Linked DNA regions of Daphnia pulex. The protein of the gene in region 1 interacts with the protein of each later gene in a pairwise test. Links are inferred from orthologs where the notes say so. Each region holds a gene or a part of one and is shown on either strand. Other genes may lie near its edges. The genes, in order: WASH complex subunit 3-like and heat shock factor-binding protein 1-like.

What was found.
Region 2: the proteins of WASH complex subunit 3-like (region 1) and heat shock factor-binding protein 1-like interact in a two-hybrid assay, tested with the Caenorhabditis elegans proteins (2 studies listed by BioGRID). The link is inferred for Daphnia pulex from reciprocal best matches to the Caenorhabditis elegans genes ddl-1 and hsb-1.

What each region holds. Positions count from the first base shown.
Region 1 is NC_060025.1:876,801-884,710, forward strand, and holds WASH complex subunit 3-like, read left to right. Parts: upstream 1-4,322; 5' UTR 4,323-4,432; coding exon 4,433-4,483; exon of another isoform or gene 4,484-4,550; coding exon 4,551-4,715; exon of another isoform or gene 4,716-4,756; intron 4,757-4,837; exon of another isoform or gene 4,838-4,951; coding exon 4,952-5,329; 3' UTR 5,330-5,444; downstream 5,445-7,910. Other genes in the region: bacchus-like, read right to left, coding at 1,533-1,631; 60S ribosomal protein L44, read right to left, coding at 3,461-3,598, 3,666-3,839, 4,192-4,194. UniProt on the Caenorhabditis elegans protein: Acts as a component of the WASH core complex that functions as a nucleation-promoting factor (NPF) at the surface of endosomes, where it recruits and activates the Arp2/3 complex to induce actin polymerization, playing a key role in the fission of tubules that serve as transport intermediates during endosome sorting.
Region 2 is NC_060020.1:1,195,613-1,203,315, reverse strand, and holds heat shock factor-binding protein 1-like, read left to right. Parts: upstream 1-3,144; 5' UTR 3,145-3,230; coding exon 3,231-3,425; intron 3,426-3,496; coding exon 3,497-3,563; intron 3,564-3,649; coding exon 3,650-3,738; 3' UTR 3,739-3,887; coding exon of another isoform or gene 3,888-3,977; 3' UTR 3,978-4,007; downstream 4,008-7,703. Other genes in the region: non-structural maintenance of chromosomes element 1 homolog, read right to left, coding at 1,711-1,956, 2,040-2,153, 2,221-2,410, 2,471-2,621, 2,690-2,792; inactive dipeptidyl peptidase 10-like, read right to left, coding at 3,888-3,977, 4,041-4,243, 4,307-4,476, 4,541-4,708, 4,777-5,181, 5,245-5,468, 5,558-5,684, 5,741-5,835 and 8 more.

The DNA.
Region 1 (7,910 bases):
TACCGTGAATAAGAGAATGATAAGTGCAAATTTTTACAATCCATAAAAGCTAATGGATTACATCTTAATTGCGAACGGTCACGTTTTTCTTTCTATCTGTCCAGTTGCCATTTTACGACGCTAGCATCACGTCCGGCGCTAGTATCTTCCCAAGGACTCGCTGTTGCCTGACACGGGTAGTAGTTATGGGGGGAGAGAAGGAAAAAGAAAAAACCATGGATATGCGCACGACACTACCCCGTCCTCCCAACCTTGGGGGTTGACCTCCTACCCACCCTCCTCCTCCTCCTCCCATTCCTCGCTTTGAGCCAGGAACTTTTCTTTTTCATCTGCTCTGCAGCTGCCCCCACCCAACCCCCTTCATCAAAGTCCTCCCACCCAACGGGTGTTTCTTTGTTGTTGGAAGCGGAAGACGACGGTTCCTGGATCCGCGGATCCACGCCAGTCTCGACATGGGCTTCCTCCGACAGAAAATAAAAAGCTAAGACGCTTCTCACTTCACAGCATGCTCAAGAAGGCACGCCATTTTTTCCCCCTTTTCGGCATTCGAATTCATATCTGGAAAAAAGCCTGACATTTTGTTTTTGGCCAAACTGCCTCGAGGTACTAAAACGGTCGAAATGAAAATAATGAAAAATAAAAGTTTAAAAACTGAAAAAGCCACCTGCCGGTTTCTATCAAAATAACTACCTAAAAATGACACGTGAAACTAAACTTGTATCAATTTAATTTGAGCATTTTTAGGCTGTGAAAGATAAACGAGTAAAAACGCTGTTGGTCGCTGTCAAAATGCCCGCGCGCAGTCTCTGCACCACCAACGAGAAATAAAAGCCGGCCGCTTGGCGTCATCGGTTCGATACCGAAAACTGCCGGTCGTGTGTGTGTGACTGGAGATTAACAATTTCAGTGAAAATAAATTCACGACATGTATCAAATGCATGAAAAATTACTTATTAAACATGTCATAACGACGGGACAATGACCTGAAGAAACTATCATGTACAACATAACAAATAAATGGAAAGTTATGTGTGTGTGGTGGAAGGAAGCTAAGGCAGCCCCAGCTTAAGGACAAACATGGCGGCGCGTCATCGCGCGCACACACACACACACACCGGCTTTTCGAGAGAGAAGTGAAAGGCTATCAAACTCAACGGCAACTCTGCTCAACGCGCCAAAATTCTCGAGTCCAACGCTCGAATTCGACTCTGACCAAATAGTTGTCACATAATTTCCCAAATATCTAATGATTACGATCCCTTTTTCTTAAAGAGTAAATATTCCAACAACAGTCATGGCGACGGGATAGAGCGTGGGGCTCAAGCCGGCCCCAGACACACGCACTCAACACACTACACACATACACACACACACACACACAAATGGCGGCAAGCACGCGGCGCGTGGGTTCTCGAGTTGATCCTTAATTTAGCCATAACGAAACCCCTCTTTTCCAACAAATTTCCTCGTTACAGACTTATTCAGAGCCGACATGAAGACAATGTAGTAAATAACAAAAAGATGGAACTTACTTCTGCTGGCCGTTTTGTGCCTTTGACTGCATCTTTCTTGGCGTCGGCGGCGATGACTTCGTCGGCTTCAACTTCCTTCGTTGCTTCCTTGGAACTCATTTTGTTTGGAGGTGTGTTGTTGTTGGTTGGTTGAGCGTGAATATTTAAGTGAGACGAAATCGAGTGGATTTTGCTCGACCGGTTCGAAAAATTATTTTAAAAAAGACTAAGAGAAGATGGAGAGTGCCTTAAAAAAGGAAGTTTGGCGCGTTCGCAAGAGTCTCTGCTTTCGAGGTGTTATAGACGGGACGGTGTAGAGCACACTGGTGGGGCCCCAAGTCTTTGGTGACTTGCATCGCCTTGTATCGGCCTCTAGCGGGGGGGTTGTCCTTAGCCTCGGGTTTTCGGTGGCAAAGCGCGTCCCTTTTGCATTTCGTGGCGTCTAGATCGAATCACAAGACCCCTGTTGTATACCAGCGCTCCAGCTGGATAAACTCCGCCCATTCCACTCTTTTCATTATGGGGAGAGAGGGGGGTAGAGGGGGTGGTAGGGTGGGGTTGGAAAAAGGTACCTTAAAAAACTCGGCTCTCCAAAGAGAACATATAGCCGTGTCGATATATTATATGCGCTGGGCTAGCCACGCTGCTACCCAGATGGCTCTGCTTGGAGAGTCCATTTTTCCCCTTCCTTCTCTCCATTCCTAGGTCTTCCAAGGTATTACCACCAGTATTAAAATATATATATATATCTCTCGCATGTATGCATATATACACTACTATACTATACCGGTATACTCAATGAGTGAAGCGTGGGGTGGTCAAAAAAGAACCAAGTCGAATATCCCCTCAAGCATAGCGAGAAAAAGCCGGTTCTGTGTAGCGTGGTCTCACTCTCGTACTTGGGATTTTCAACTCGGAAACTTTCCCACTGAAATTTTTCGAATTAAAAATAAAACTCTTGTTTTCGAATCGGTTAGCCGAAAGATAAATGAGAAACTCGCCGAAGCAGATTAGTAACTAGCACGTCACTAGACGTCGGTTGCACCACCAGCGTGATTTTTTAACCCCTCTACCGGCCATATTTTTACTGGTTTATATATCATGGGTAGTAGTTGTCTAGGCGGCGGATTGAGAATCCGCGCGAACCAGAAAACAAAGAAACGCTCATCTCACGTCTCTCCCTCATCTCCCGAAAATACCGGGTAGTTGACGTTCTTCCAACTAAAAGATAATAGCCTTATCTTCTCTTTATCCCCTACAGACGCTCAAAGCGTGGTCTACAACTAGATTGTTTGCATCAAACAGATAAATGGAAAAACTCTTATAATTCGTAACCGACTTGTTTATAACACACTTGTCATTTCTTTTTTTTCGAAATTATTTACTCTTCAACGACATTTTTCAAGTATTCTCGTACACTAAGAATGACCGGAAACTCGTTCACACGCATTTTAACAGACGCCATTGAATGCTTCACTCTTTTTCTATTCTTGTTCTCTCGCCATCTACAATCTTCGTTTTCTCTTCGACATGTACACCGCGAACGCGTCAACCAATGACGAAGAGTTTTCCTTATCGCTTTTTAGACGATCGAAGCGTTCAGTCTAACCGTCCGATTGTGGTGTCGAGTTGGAATCATCACTCACAGATGGCGTGATGGGCTTCACACTACTTTTCAAGAGCTAATTAGGATAAAAACTAAGGCAACTCTTAACTACTAAGAGCAAAGCTAGATTTAACTAAAGCTAGCAGATTTCTCACATGAATACTTGGAATCAATTGGTTGATTTTTCACCTAGCAAATATTTGAAATCAATAAATACCCAAATGTCTCGCATGGAGCCATTTCCCTACATTATCATAGGGATTAAGGAAAGTAATGAAGACTAATAACAGACTATAGGCGCCAAAGATGTTGTATTGGCCAGCACAAGGTGATGACAAACAGTCTAGAACTGAATCATCTGTCCCTTCCTCTTCTTGTCACCTCCAAGTTCAAAGTGCTTGCAACGCTTGAGGGGGATCTGCTTGCGGACTTTGCATTCTGAGCACTCCATCCTCAGGACAATCTTTTTAGTGGTCTTGGCCTGCGTAATTCAACAATGAGAAGCATTAGTACACAATTCAAGTGAACCAATCTTTAAGTCTTCATACCTTCTTCCTGAAAATAGGTTTGGTTTGACCACCATAACCCTTTTGTTTTCTGTCGTAACGACGACGACCCTGGGCAGCACTACGCTCCTTGGATTTCTTGTACTGCGTCACTTTGTGGACCTTGTGGGTCTTGCATTTTTTGCAGTAGGTGCGACGACTCTTTGGTACGTTCACCTAAAACGAGATCAACAAGTCATGAGCCGGTGTTTTCGACAACAAATTATGACAGTTTAAATGCACAACATACTTAACAACCACATACTTACAACTACAAAGAGAAATTTACACCTTAAACTTTTAAGTAATGCTAGTATTAACAGTCAAAATAACATGTCTAGTCAAGGTATCCATATGACAGACAGAGTGACAAAACAGATTTTATACCAGTCAAACGAAAAGTCTACCAATTGACACAGAATGCTAATAAACATCATCGAATTCTACTGCAAAAAGAGATGCTATATAAACATATAAGATGGTTAAATATCAAAGGATGTTGCGAGATATTAAATCGACGAGACTATACCATTTTCGGACGAACAGGCGAACGAAGTGGAAATGAGACAGAATTCTCTCCTCCGGATTGCAAGTGAACAACAGAGTTGCCTTGTTCCTCAAATAATTCGACCGCTGCGCCTGAAGGGGATGGATTCTGTGTCGTCTGCTAGAAGAAAAACAAAACAATCAAACGCGACATTTATCCCATGGATGTGATTTAATAATTCGTATATTCCACGTCGTTCTAATCAAGGAAGAAATACTAAGGGATGGAAAATAAAGGACTACCTTTTTTCGGTCCTACTGTCGAGTTCTCTTCGGTTCGTTTGTATTTTTCATTTTCGTTTAAATTGGATGATGGCAGTAACACATTTTAATGTTTGACAGGTTCCGCCCATCGAAACTAAAAGAATTTTGAGCTATTTCAACCAGTTTGTTTCCAATTCAGTTCAGTTACTAAACAAATTTGCAATTATATGTGATACCAAATTGCTGGATCTCAACTTTCGACTACAAGATGTTGAAGCCACATTAGCCATTCTCGAAGCAAAGGTAAATTCCTTCATTTAAACATTTCAATTCCACCAGCTCTTCTTTAAAGATGCATAAATAGGGAAAATTGGTATGAAATTAAATTTTCATGAGAAACAAATTTAGATTAAGCAAGACCATACCTACTCAGTTATTTAACAATACATGTCGAGCCAACTCACTCAAGTGTATCACTTTGGGGTATGTTTATCATTTATAGACAATGAATGGCTGATTCTTTTTTCTTTTGAAAACAGTTGGCTTCAGTTCCTGCACTGGAAACTACTTCAATACCGGCCATCCCACCTACAGTGCCTGCCACCAGCTCAGAATCTGTACCAGTGGCTGCAAGCGTTCAGATCCTTCCATCCGCCGTTCCACCAGTCTTTCCTGAAGATGTTTCTAGCGTCCACCAGACGGCGGTGGCGCCTCCGAATCCCGAAATCCTTCGGTTCGTCAAAATGCTTGCCTTTGGGGTTCCGTTAATGGCCGTCGAGCAGAAAATGCGAGCAGAAGGTTACGATCCATCGCTGCTCAACAGCGGCAAAGTTGACGTCACCAAGGCCCCACCAGCACCGCGATCAACCCATTCGAGCTCCGACGACGACGAAGAATCAAACAGCGACGACTATTAACACAAATAACAATTAATCATTTTCCCCGAGACTTATGAAATTTCAGTCTTATCGTGCCTGTATACTTGATGCATGGAGAAAGGATTCCGATCATACATAGACATAATCAATTCTCGATCGACGGTTGTAACCGGAGAGCCTTGATGAGAGAGTCCGAACGCGTGATGATTTATATGTTTGGCCCCACGTATAGACAATATACCACAACAACAACAACAACACTCTTGAATAATGCATGTCAAGAAAAAGAGTCACGGGCCCAGCACTCAGGCCGATTGCCAAGACTCGTACGTCCTTGAGAAAAGCTTCCAGTTGTGCGTTAGACGGGAGAGATGATCTCTCCGGACAGCCCACACGAGGATCCCGACAGCCAACCCCACCACTCGGCAGATCCAGCAGTTTCGACGTATCAAAGCCCCCCCCGCATATTGATTTGACAATGACACAAACAGGCCTCTAATATCGTGTTAGTGCTGCAAATCGTCGGTTGGGTTGGTTTTTTTAAATTTTTATTTTTTTTTTCATCCTCTCCCAGTCGAGTCAATAAAATGAAATGCAACTAAAAAGGGGTGGTGTATTTTTAGATAACACGGACCCGGCGAGTTTAATTTTAAAACAAGCTCGTCGCCCAGCTGTACACCTCGGAACTCTGGAGAAAAAGAAAAGAAGAAACTTGGAGCTCTTTTCTCCTAGAGTCAAACATTTTCCACGAAACCTATACACACACACAACACTCTTGGATATCGTAACATAACATTCAAATGTAAACATTGGTCTCTTATATGTATAGGTCCGAGTGGCAAGAAGAGAAAAACTTTGGCCCATTTGGAAAATAACAAGAACCCCATTTCTTCTAGCTCGCAGAGTGTGTGGTGTGGGGGCATCCGGCGGGCAACAGTAGCAGCCCATTGGACCCGATTTTGAGTTTCTTTTCTTTTATAAACGGAGACCGTCGACGACTAGCGTCCGTGGCAGGAGCGAAATGTGGAGCACGGCCGTGCTAAACTTAGAGCCTCTTTTTACCTAGCGACTGACTCACGACTCTATTTGTGTCGGTGATGCGGGCGCGGTGGGTGTCGATCGTCCCGACAACTTCAAGACAAACACACACACACACACTTACTTACTTGTACACACGATATATACTGGCTTGATATGTTTCAGCTGGGCTACAAGCGTGTGATTCATTTGAAGCCCAGGGATTGCTGGGAGAACTATTCGATGAGTCTTAACGGACAACATTTGAACGTTGATACGCACGCACGGCGTCAGCGATGAGCCACACCGCAATTTTGTTTTTGCTTTTCTTTTGTCCTTGGTGGCTCAAAGATGTGTAATCGATCCTGGAATGGACCGCGTCTATTTTCGGTTGGGAAAAATACAAACGAGAAGAAGAATGAAGATTCCTGATGATCTTTTTGTGCGCGCGGGGGTTTTAGATGGTTTTAAAAGCGATTCAGGAGCGATATCTTTGATGCTCAACACCTACTTGGGAGCAGTCGAAAGGAGGAGCCCTGCAGGAATTGAAAAGGATCTATGGGATCCAACCTTCTATCTCATATTGAGGTCTAACAAATTCTTCAAAGGAGGCCACACCAAAAATTCAAAGGCCAAGAATATCAGACAGCTCATTAGCTAAATGGCGGCTGACCCTTTTGCGGCGGTGTCCCGAGTGTGTGGCACTTTCCAGCTGGCACGGCCGGGAAATGGCTTTTTGCGTGACCCCGTCCCTTGGCTGGCTGTTGGCGTGCCATCTCATTTCCATAGTGGTTCCACAAAGGAGCTGATCATCTAGCAGGACGGGGGGGTTTCGTCATCGCGGGAGAGAGAGAAATGCTTCTCGTTCCAGGCGCAACTTTCTCAAGTCACACCCACAATTTGTGCGTCTGGAATCCTTCCGCCGGTATAGTAGCAGCGTCTAGCCGGCCCTATATTTGGGCATTGGTCGAAAAGGATATTTTTTCGGAAGATTTTTTTTTTGAAGAACGGCTAGGAGCTGCAGAGAATCCGGGCAATATCACGGGTAAACGGTTTCCCCTATATCCCCCCTCACTCCAACCGATATAACTCCCGCAAACGCACGCGCTCTCTTTGACGATGACATTTGTCCGTCCCCGGGGTGACAGATTTCGTCTCGATCGATCACGTCACAAGACCCGCGAGGGACATTCGCCCGCTGGCACTTCTCCTATCGCAAATGGATAACAATTTTCTAATAGGGAAAACATTTTGAAGCGCCTATATAAGAACGCTCGCGCTCTGATGCCGTTTTCTCATCTTCAAAAGTCCCGCGCGACTATTTTCGACAGAAGAAGAAGTACTACACAAGAAAATAAAATAAAATGTCGGCTGTCACCGTGCCCTCGTCCGTCGAGGTCACATTCCTTTGCCCGCGTGCAAAATTTAAAAAAAAAAAAAAGTTTCATTTTATCCCGGTTCCGACCGACGACCATCCCGCGTAAGTTGTAGCGATCCTATATCCAACACACAAGGCGATGATTCACGGCTAAACTTAGAAAATGCGGAGAAAAAATGTGCATATAGCATCATGCACACACGAGGTACTAATATCCACTCTGTA
Region 2 (7,703 bases), on another chromosome or scaffold:
ATCCAACGGGATGATGACGCCGGACACACACACACAAAAAAAAAGAAGAAGAATGAAATAGTCGAATATATGCGCTCGTATAAACCCACAGAACGTATCTAACTGCAACATACGATCACATCTGTGACGACCGACAGCACCCGAAATGACCATTAAACAATGTAATGGCACACAGCAAGGAACGTGAAATAACTTTGGACAAACTAGAACCTACTTGTGTGACACATTGGACAGATGCTGCCGTTTTCTTTTGGCCCGTTCTCAGCTTCACAAATGGCGAATTCTAGTTCGATAGGACAGGATATTAAAAAAAAAAAAAAAAAACAGCCAAGAAAGAATAAATGTAGCTTAACTACATAAAGTCTTAACTATACACAGCACATTTACTTTAGAGAAGGTGTCCCTATAGCGATGAAAGGACACGTCGCCGTGCGTAATTGTATAGTGTACGAGTTTTAGAAAAATGTGGTTCTGCCTACGTGCGGTTATTACATGCGATGAATCCATACTCTATCATTCACCTGTTGATGTTGGCGCTGGACCGTATAACCATAGGCGACCAACAGCAGCTGAAGGGGTTTCTCACTCAACAGTTCAGCGCGACTCGTCCCGAAAAGTGTGGTTTCTTTTGTTCTGTAGTCACCAATGCTCAACTCTATAGGAAATTTATTTATTATTATTCGATGCGGGGGAAGTTTTTTTTTTGTTTGTGTTGCTGCTGACTCGATCGTTGCATGTGACGGCCTTGCGGAAGAAAGAAAAAAAACACACCAGCACTCAAATATACACAAGGGTGGCAAAGGGATATGGGAAATTGGCCAAAAGGTGAGATTGGAAGTAATGAGGCGTGCGCTTTGTTGAGAGAAAAAAAAACAGACAAAAAGGGAAGAAAAACAAAGGACGATGTGGAAAATTCTAACGGTACTAGTCCCTGACAGAGCCGACCGTGCCTGGCCATACCCGGGTCGTCATTCGGTCGCTCTATTTTTTCTCCTTCGTGCTCTTTGGGTTTTTTGTTATTTCTACGCATGTTATCTGTTTTCTCCTCTTCTCCCCCGTTTTCTCATCAACGCTGAGTCTGCTAATCAGGTCTTTTACAATCTTACATTAGGCCAAATTCGTTTCGCTGGCAAGAGATGATGACATTCCTAGCGCAGCTCCATCAACTTGAATTACCGACAACACCAAATTACATCTACTGGCGAAGGTAGTACGGAGAAAAGACTCTTGTTGCACATTTCGGCCTTGGATGTCCATCGGACACGATTGAGGCTACTTCGTACGTCAGGGCCGGCGCTTTCACCAGAGACTCATATTTTACGTCAAACTAATCTATACACTACCGGGTCATCAAGCACGGGAATGTAGGCTAATAAGCAGAAGCGCGAAGGTTTTGACGAGCCACCCACCATTACGAGGAAGTTACTGTTGTATCCTAGAAAGTGCTGATGCACTTGATGGTTATCTATATAAAGTCGTAACGAATTTACGGATATGGCCCTGTCCGTCTCGCTTTCTCGACACCCACAAATTGACGAGTAGTATCTATTAAAAGATTTGTGAGGATGGTTGTTAATAACGACACAACGACACACAAAGAAAAGGAAAAACTAGTTTTTATCATCAATGAAAAAGCCCTACTTCGATTCGGGTTCCCCAGCTCGTTTAGAAATTACAGGATATGCATGAAAAACTTACAGTTCTGATGACCTAATCGCTGTCAGACTCCACAGCACTTCTTCCTCGTCTAACACCACTTCTCCTACGGCGTGGCTCTTCGCTGGACGATGCGGATGGCGTTTGCGATAGGGCTTGCGAAGCAAAAGTCTGGGAGAGATTATTTTCATCATCCAAACCGGACAATACTCGGTTACAATTTGGGCATTTTAATTTCAGCTTTGAAATGCAATAGCGATGAAATTTCGCACCACATGACGTCTCCGGGCAAACAAATTTCTACGTCAGAATTAAATTAATGAAAAGAAATAAAGAAAAGAAATTTAAAAAAAAGCAATACGCCAAAAATAGTCTCTCCACACCTTAACAGCAAGTTTGTTGCAGATAACGCAGTCTCCGAGATCGTCGCCTAGTTTTTTCAACACGGGCTCCATCTCCAACAACGTTCTAACTGTAAATGATACTTCTCCCTCTCTCTGTACAAATGAATATGTAATTTAAAAAATAAAAATAACATTGAGGATAAAAATAAAGAATGAATACCTCCTTTAACCACTGTGCAGCAAAGAACTTATCCAAAGTTTTTTGAGCATCTGTTTTGCTAAGTTTAGGAATGTCTGCGCTGTGATTTATACAGTCTGTGGAAGAAACTGAGCCAGTTTCCGATGAAATGATTTCTTTCATGATCCACTTGAATAGGTCCAACTCAGCAGCAGAAAATTCTGATGTGTGCCTGTAAACTTAAAATACTTAATCAGAAACATATAATTTTATCAAAAAGGGAAAACATTACTTGGCTGCTTCACTTTCAATCAAACTGATCAGAGCGAAATATTCATCATTATTGTCTTCGCACAACCTTGATTTGACAGCAAGCTGGGCAGGCTTGAGCAAATCATTTAAGGATTTTATAAGATCTCTGATTTCATTTCCTCGTGCCTGGTCTAAAACATGTCATGGTAAATCATATATATTTGTTTGATAACTTGAATAGAAAAGCTTATGGACATACTTTTAAAAACAGTGGCATAAATTTTCTCCAGTTCTTTACTAGATATCAAAGGCTTGTAAAGCAAATATTGCAATACTTGTTTTTTTTCTTGTTCATCCGCCATTTAAAACGAAAAGGATATTATGGGTGGTAGGTTAAGTATATGTTTCATGGAAATAAAGCAGGATCGAGATTTCATGAAATTTTCGCGGTAAATGATGAATCACTGAACGAGGCAACGAGCAGACGATGAAGCGGTAAAAAAATGTGAAATGATTGCCACTTCCAAACAAATGAATACAAAATTTATCAGATTGTGAGTGCCAATTATTGATTGATAAAATTATCCATTAAACATGAATTAATTTACTGAATTGAAAAATGTAATGATTAATGAGAAAATAAACCTTTATAAATCCAAAGTGAAAAGACAACAGTGTCTCAATCAATGCCAGCTGTTTCCATGGAAACGTCACAATTGTTTTCTTTTTTCAGCTGAATCTGGTCTCTCTCTTGCGTCTCTTCAGGGTCTAGTCTATTTTAAAGCAAGATTTGAGAGAAAATGGCTGATAATAACAAATTGAGCGCCAGCTCGGAGTATCCGTCTGATGTTTCTACTGAACTGAATGTGAGTGCAAGTCTCAGTAACAATGAAAGTTCGGGAAGTAACGTTCGCGATTCAGTGACTAGTATTACCACAGCCAATCCACAGTCCAGTACTCCTGATTTAAAAAACGTTCAAGATCTCACTCGCTATGTAAATACGCTACACTTTCTCAGGAAAATTTATTTTGTTAATTTATACCATTTTCTTTCTGAATTATGCAGGTTGAACTTCTTCTGCAGCAAATGCAAGAAAGATTTCAAACTATTTCGGATCAAGTGCTTTCAAGAAATATCCTTTTACACTAAATTAATTTAATTTTTTTTTTTAAATTTCTTATTATATCAAAAGCATTTTCCTTAACCCCCAGTTTTCACTTGATGATATGGGAAACCGTATTGATGATTTAGAGAGGAACATTGCAGATCTTGTCACTCAATCTGGAGTCGAAGGACCCCCAAAGTAGAACTTTGGTCATAACATCACAGCCCTCAAGAAATACTGGATTTTTTGCACATTATTCACTAGTTGCACCATGTAAGCAATTCTTTTTAAAAGAATCTGCTGTACTATAAACTTTTATTCATCCACCACCATGATACATTATGTTAACAATCATTTTTGCAGACATTGTGTAATGAAATGTTCCAAGGAAAGATAAGAATGGTATTCAATCATATTCTTAATCCCAGCCTGAGGATAAGTCTGAAATTCCAATAAATATATCATGAAAAATGCTGAGTGAACATTCATCTAGGACTAGCTTACTTTGTAATCGAAACGAGTGCCTGCTTTAGTCAACTGAGAGTTGAATTTCACGGATTGAAAATGTTGAACCGGGTTGTATGGAAACGAGTCCATTAATAGTATTGTATCATTTTTAATCAAGTGGATGTGATTGTCTGTTTTTGACAGGACATAATTGTGCTGATCAGACGCATCTCCCAAGTATCTTTCAGCAATGCTTGCCTCTGAGTAGAGCAAACAAATAGTTTCATTGGGATGCTATTTTTCTATAGTGCAAAAGTACGTACCGTATATGGACCATTCGGTAGTGGGCGAAATAACGATGCCACATTTGAAAATTTCTTCTTCCTCGTTGGCCACCATTGCCATCATCATAGTTGCAAGATAACCACCGATCCCTTTGCCAATTAGAACAACTGCTTGCCTGTCAACGTGGTTCAGCTCTTCCATGAGAAACCTGGACAAGTGGATGTAATAACGTTATCATCAGAACAACAAGGATTTGAGTCAGATTCGTTTACTTGACAACAGTAAGAAGGTCATTTACGCCAGTCTGAAGAGATCCATACTTATTTGACCTGTCCCGTCCGCTTATCCTAGCGTATATGACTTGCCGAGTTAAAGTAAAGTACGTGGGCCAATCTTTTCGCCACTGGTCAGTCAAGGCGTCCCCAGCATTCCAATCCAAGCTAAAAAAAAAAATCCAAAGGTTATTTTTCTTTATTAAATTTAAAATTACGAGAATTATGTATTTTACGTTTGAATAATAAGAGGGTAGCGCAGTTTATGGTAAACGTTCTCGTTCCAGCTACGGGGTAGTAACAGCTGGACCCTTCCGACACCTCCATTTTCGAGCGGAATTGTTAAATATTTGATCGTTGGCGTCAGATGTTCGAGAAGGTCTCGCAGTTCGCCATCATCGGCAACCTGCAGAAGTGTAGCGAGAATTTCACTGTCGTCGGCAGTCAAAACGTGAACACTGGGAATGTGAGGCCCTAGGCACTGCAGTTCGTAGAAATCTGTGTTTTTCGGTTCGAATTTGGCGTCGACAAAGTTGCAATTGTCGGCCATTATTTGACAGCTGAGACATTCTGTCGTGGCCCCGTTCACGCGATACACATGCCTCTTTTGGGGCTCGCTTGTTGGAGTGGCTAACACGTACCTAAAATGGAAATTATTCAAATATCACGTCCGATCTAAATTAAAGATTTGAATGCAGAAGTACGTGGTGTCGTTCGCTTCATCCCAGCCTAGTATGCGGTTGACTTCTAATTGGTTGAGGTCAACCGAAACAAATTTGTGCCAAGGCGATTTGTGATAAACGAGACGCTGGTCTTCCGCTTGGCCCATGTTTGAGATTGCCAAAATGAAGCCGCTGTCACCGCTGGGCGAGGGGTACAGCGACGGGGAGGCCAGCCAGCGTCCAGCGACAGCTTCTTCGACAATAATCTACAATTTTCAAATTGGGGCAGGCCCACTCAATGGCTAATTGAAAACTTGTGAATGATGTTGGACGAAAGAAAAGCCCGGGTACGTACTTGGCTGCATCCAGGCACGGCGGCCACCTGGCAGTGGAACACTCTGAATTCGTTCTGATTGCGGGTCATCCAGGCCGTCACGAAGCCAATCGCGTCCAGCCACTCGACTTGAACCAACATCCATTGCCTGTCGTTCCAATTAATGAGGGAGCTTTTGATCGATTCGACGGGATCTGGTCATACCTCTGGTTAGCCAACTGGCTGATGGCCAATTGGGTCTCTGAATTGCTCTCGAGATGGATCAACTTCAACTGGATTTCGGGCAACTGGCCCCCTGGCTTTCAAACCAAGAGTCAGACAACCAATGAGTAATCATCAACTCCTCTCTCTCTCTCTCTCTTTCTTTGTCTACATGTTGTTGCTACATAGAAGGATGGAATGTTGTTTGTACCACAGCGTGACGAATGCTACTGGCCCGCGAACGGTCCGCTAAATATTCGATGAAATCCAAATGGTGACACTGGCTAGAATTCAAGGTTGCGTAAATTAGCCAATCGCCGCCATCGTTCGGCCACATAAGGTTTCGCCAGCGTGTCACTCCTTCTGTAGAAAGTAGAAGGGGAAAAAAACGATTACTGGTCAAAACGAACAAATGTACAAACCAAAAAGTCGTGGAAAACACAAGGACGAACAAAACAACAAAAACAGAAACCTGAATATGTCCAATCGGGTAATCCGGTACAGAAAAAGTCTTGTTCCGGCTCCGAAGGAAACTGGTCGTCGTTTGCACCTCGTAGTTTCCATCCGCTCCGGCTGGTGGCATCACTAGTCCAAAAGATTCTGGTGTCGCCCAAAAATGTTGAGCAACGAGAAAAAAAATAGGTTGTTTCCAAATCGAAATTTTAAAATAGTTTCGACGCTCGTTACAAAAGCAAATGGCTATAGTTAAATACCTATTGCGATAAATGGCGTAAAGTCGGTTGGATCGCCCTGCCCATCCAACGAATCCCAAACGAGTCGGTTGCAGTTCTTCCGCTTCCAGTCGTATTTTCCACAAATCTCTGTCGGAGATGAAACGTAAATTCAATCAAGATCAAAGAGCCGTGGGCCTAGGCCCAAAAGGCGAATAAAAGAAAAATTGCTATTCACTTTTCTAGTGTGTCGTAGACGGCGTAATAGCGCTGCGGCTGATGGCAGCCGTAAAAGAGTTCGCCTTCGCTCTGCGGGTCGCCCGTGTGGTGCTGACGAAGGAGAACGTAACGGCCGTCGTAACTTGGCCAAAATTCGTCCGCTCTCCACTGCGACTTATTTCATCGTCAAATAATAAAAACAAAAAGAAGAAACGTGGACGTGATCAATCGAAATGGAGCTGAGCAGCTATGAAAAATGTTTAAATAGTTTTGTTGAAATGGTACCACAACATGAGGAGGTACGAGGACGAGTGATTGGTTGGTCGTGGCACGGTAGACACGGAGTCCGCCAGAGGCATCCCAATAAACCAGTTGACGATCTTATTCGATCAGAGGGGAGAAAATAAAAAAAAGAGACCAAAAAACAGAAGCTGCTCACGAATATTTCTAGATGGACTTGGAGGGAAACTGGTTTTTCTGTATATCATACCCGAAATCCAGCGCGTCGACTTCCACTGATCCTTGGACACGCTGTTGTTAATGAAGATGGACGATTCCGTGTCCAAAACCGAGTTGAGATCGTAAGACACTTTTTGCCAGTAAGCCCCCTATTTGAAGAAGAAACCAAATTCAATTCCAAAATATTTCTCTTTTATGTGTAGACGTGTGACTGTCAGGTAAATGTTACCTCGTCTTCGGGGTGGCGCATATAGAGGGCAGCTGTGCTGACGGCCAGCAACACCTGGAAATAATCAGAAACTCTGTGTCAGTTATTATAATCTTGGATATCATTCGACGGCTCACTTTTCAGTTATATTTAACGTATTATTATTATTTTTTTTCTTTGACATATAATATGGTGACGATTTAGCTTACAATGGTGATGGCGCATATCGCTATGCCCGTGGCTCTCCAGTTATGAGGTTCCTCGGCCTTTGCGTCGCATCCGTTTACGAGAGAATAAGAGAGACAATTATTGGCAACATTAGTTTTTCCCCTCTTACGACTTATTATTACATATTCTATTCGGCGTGTAATCACTGTAATTATGACGTTTGACGAATTTAGTTTATAGT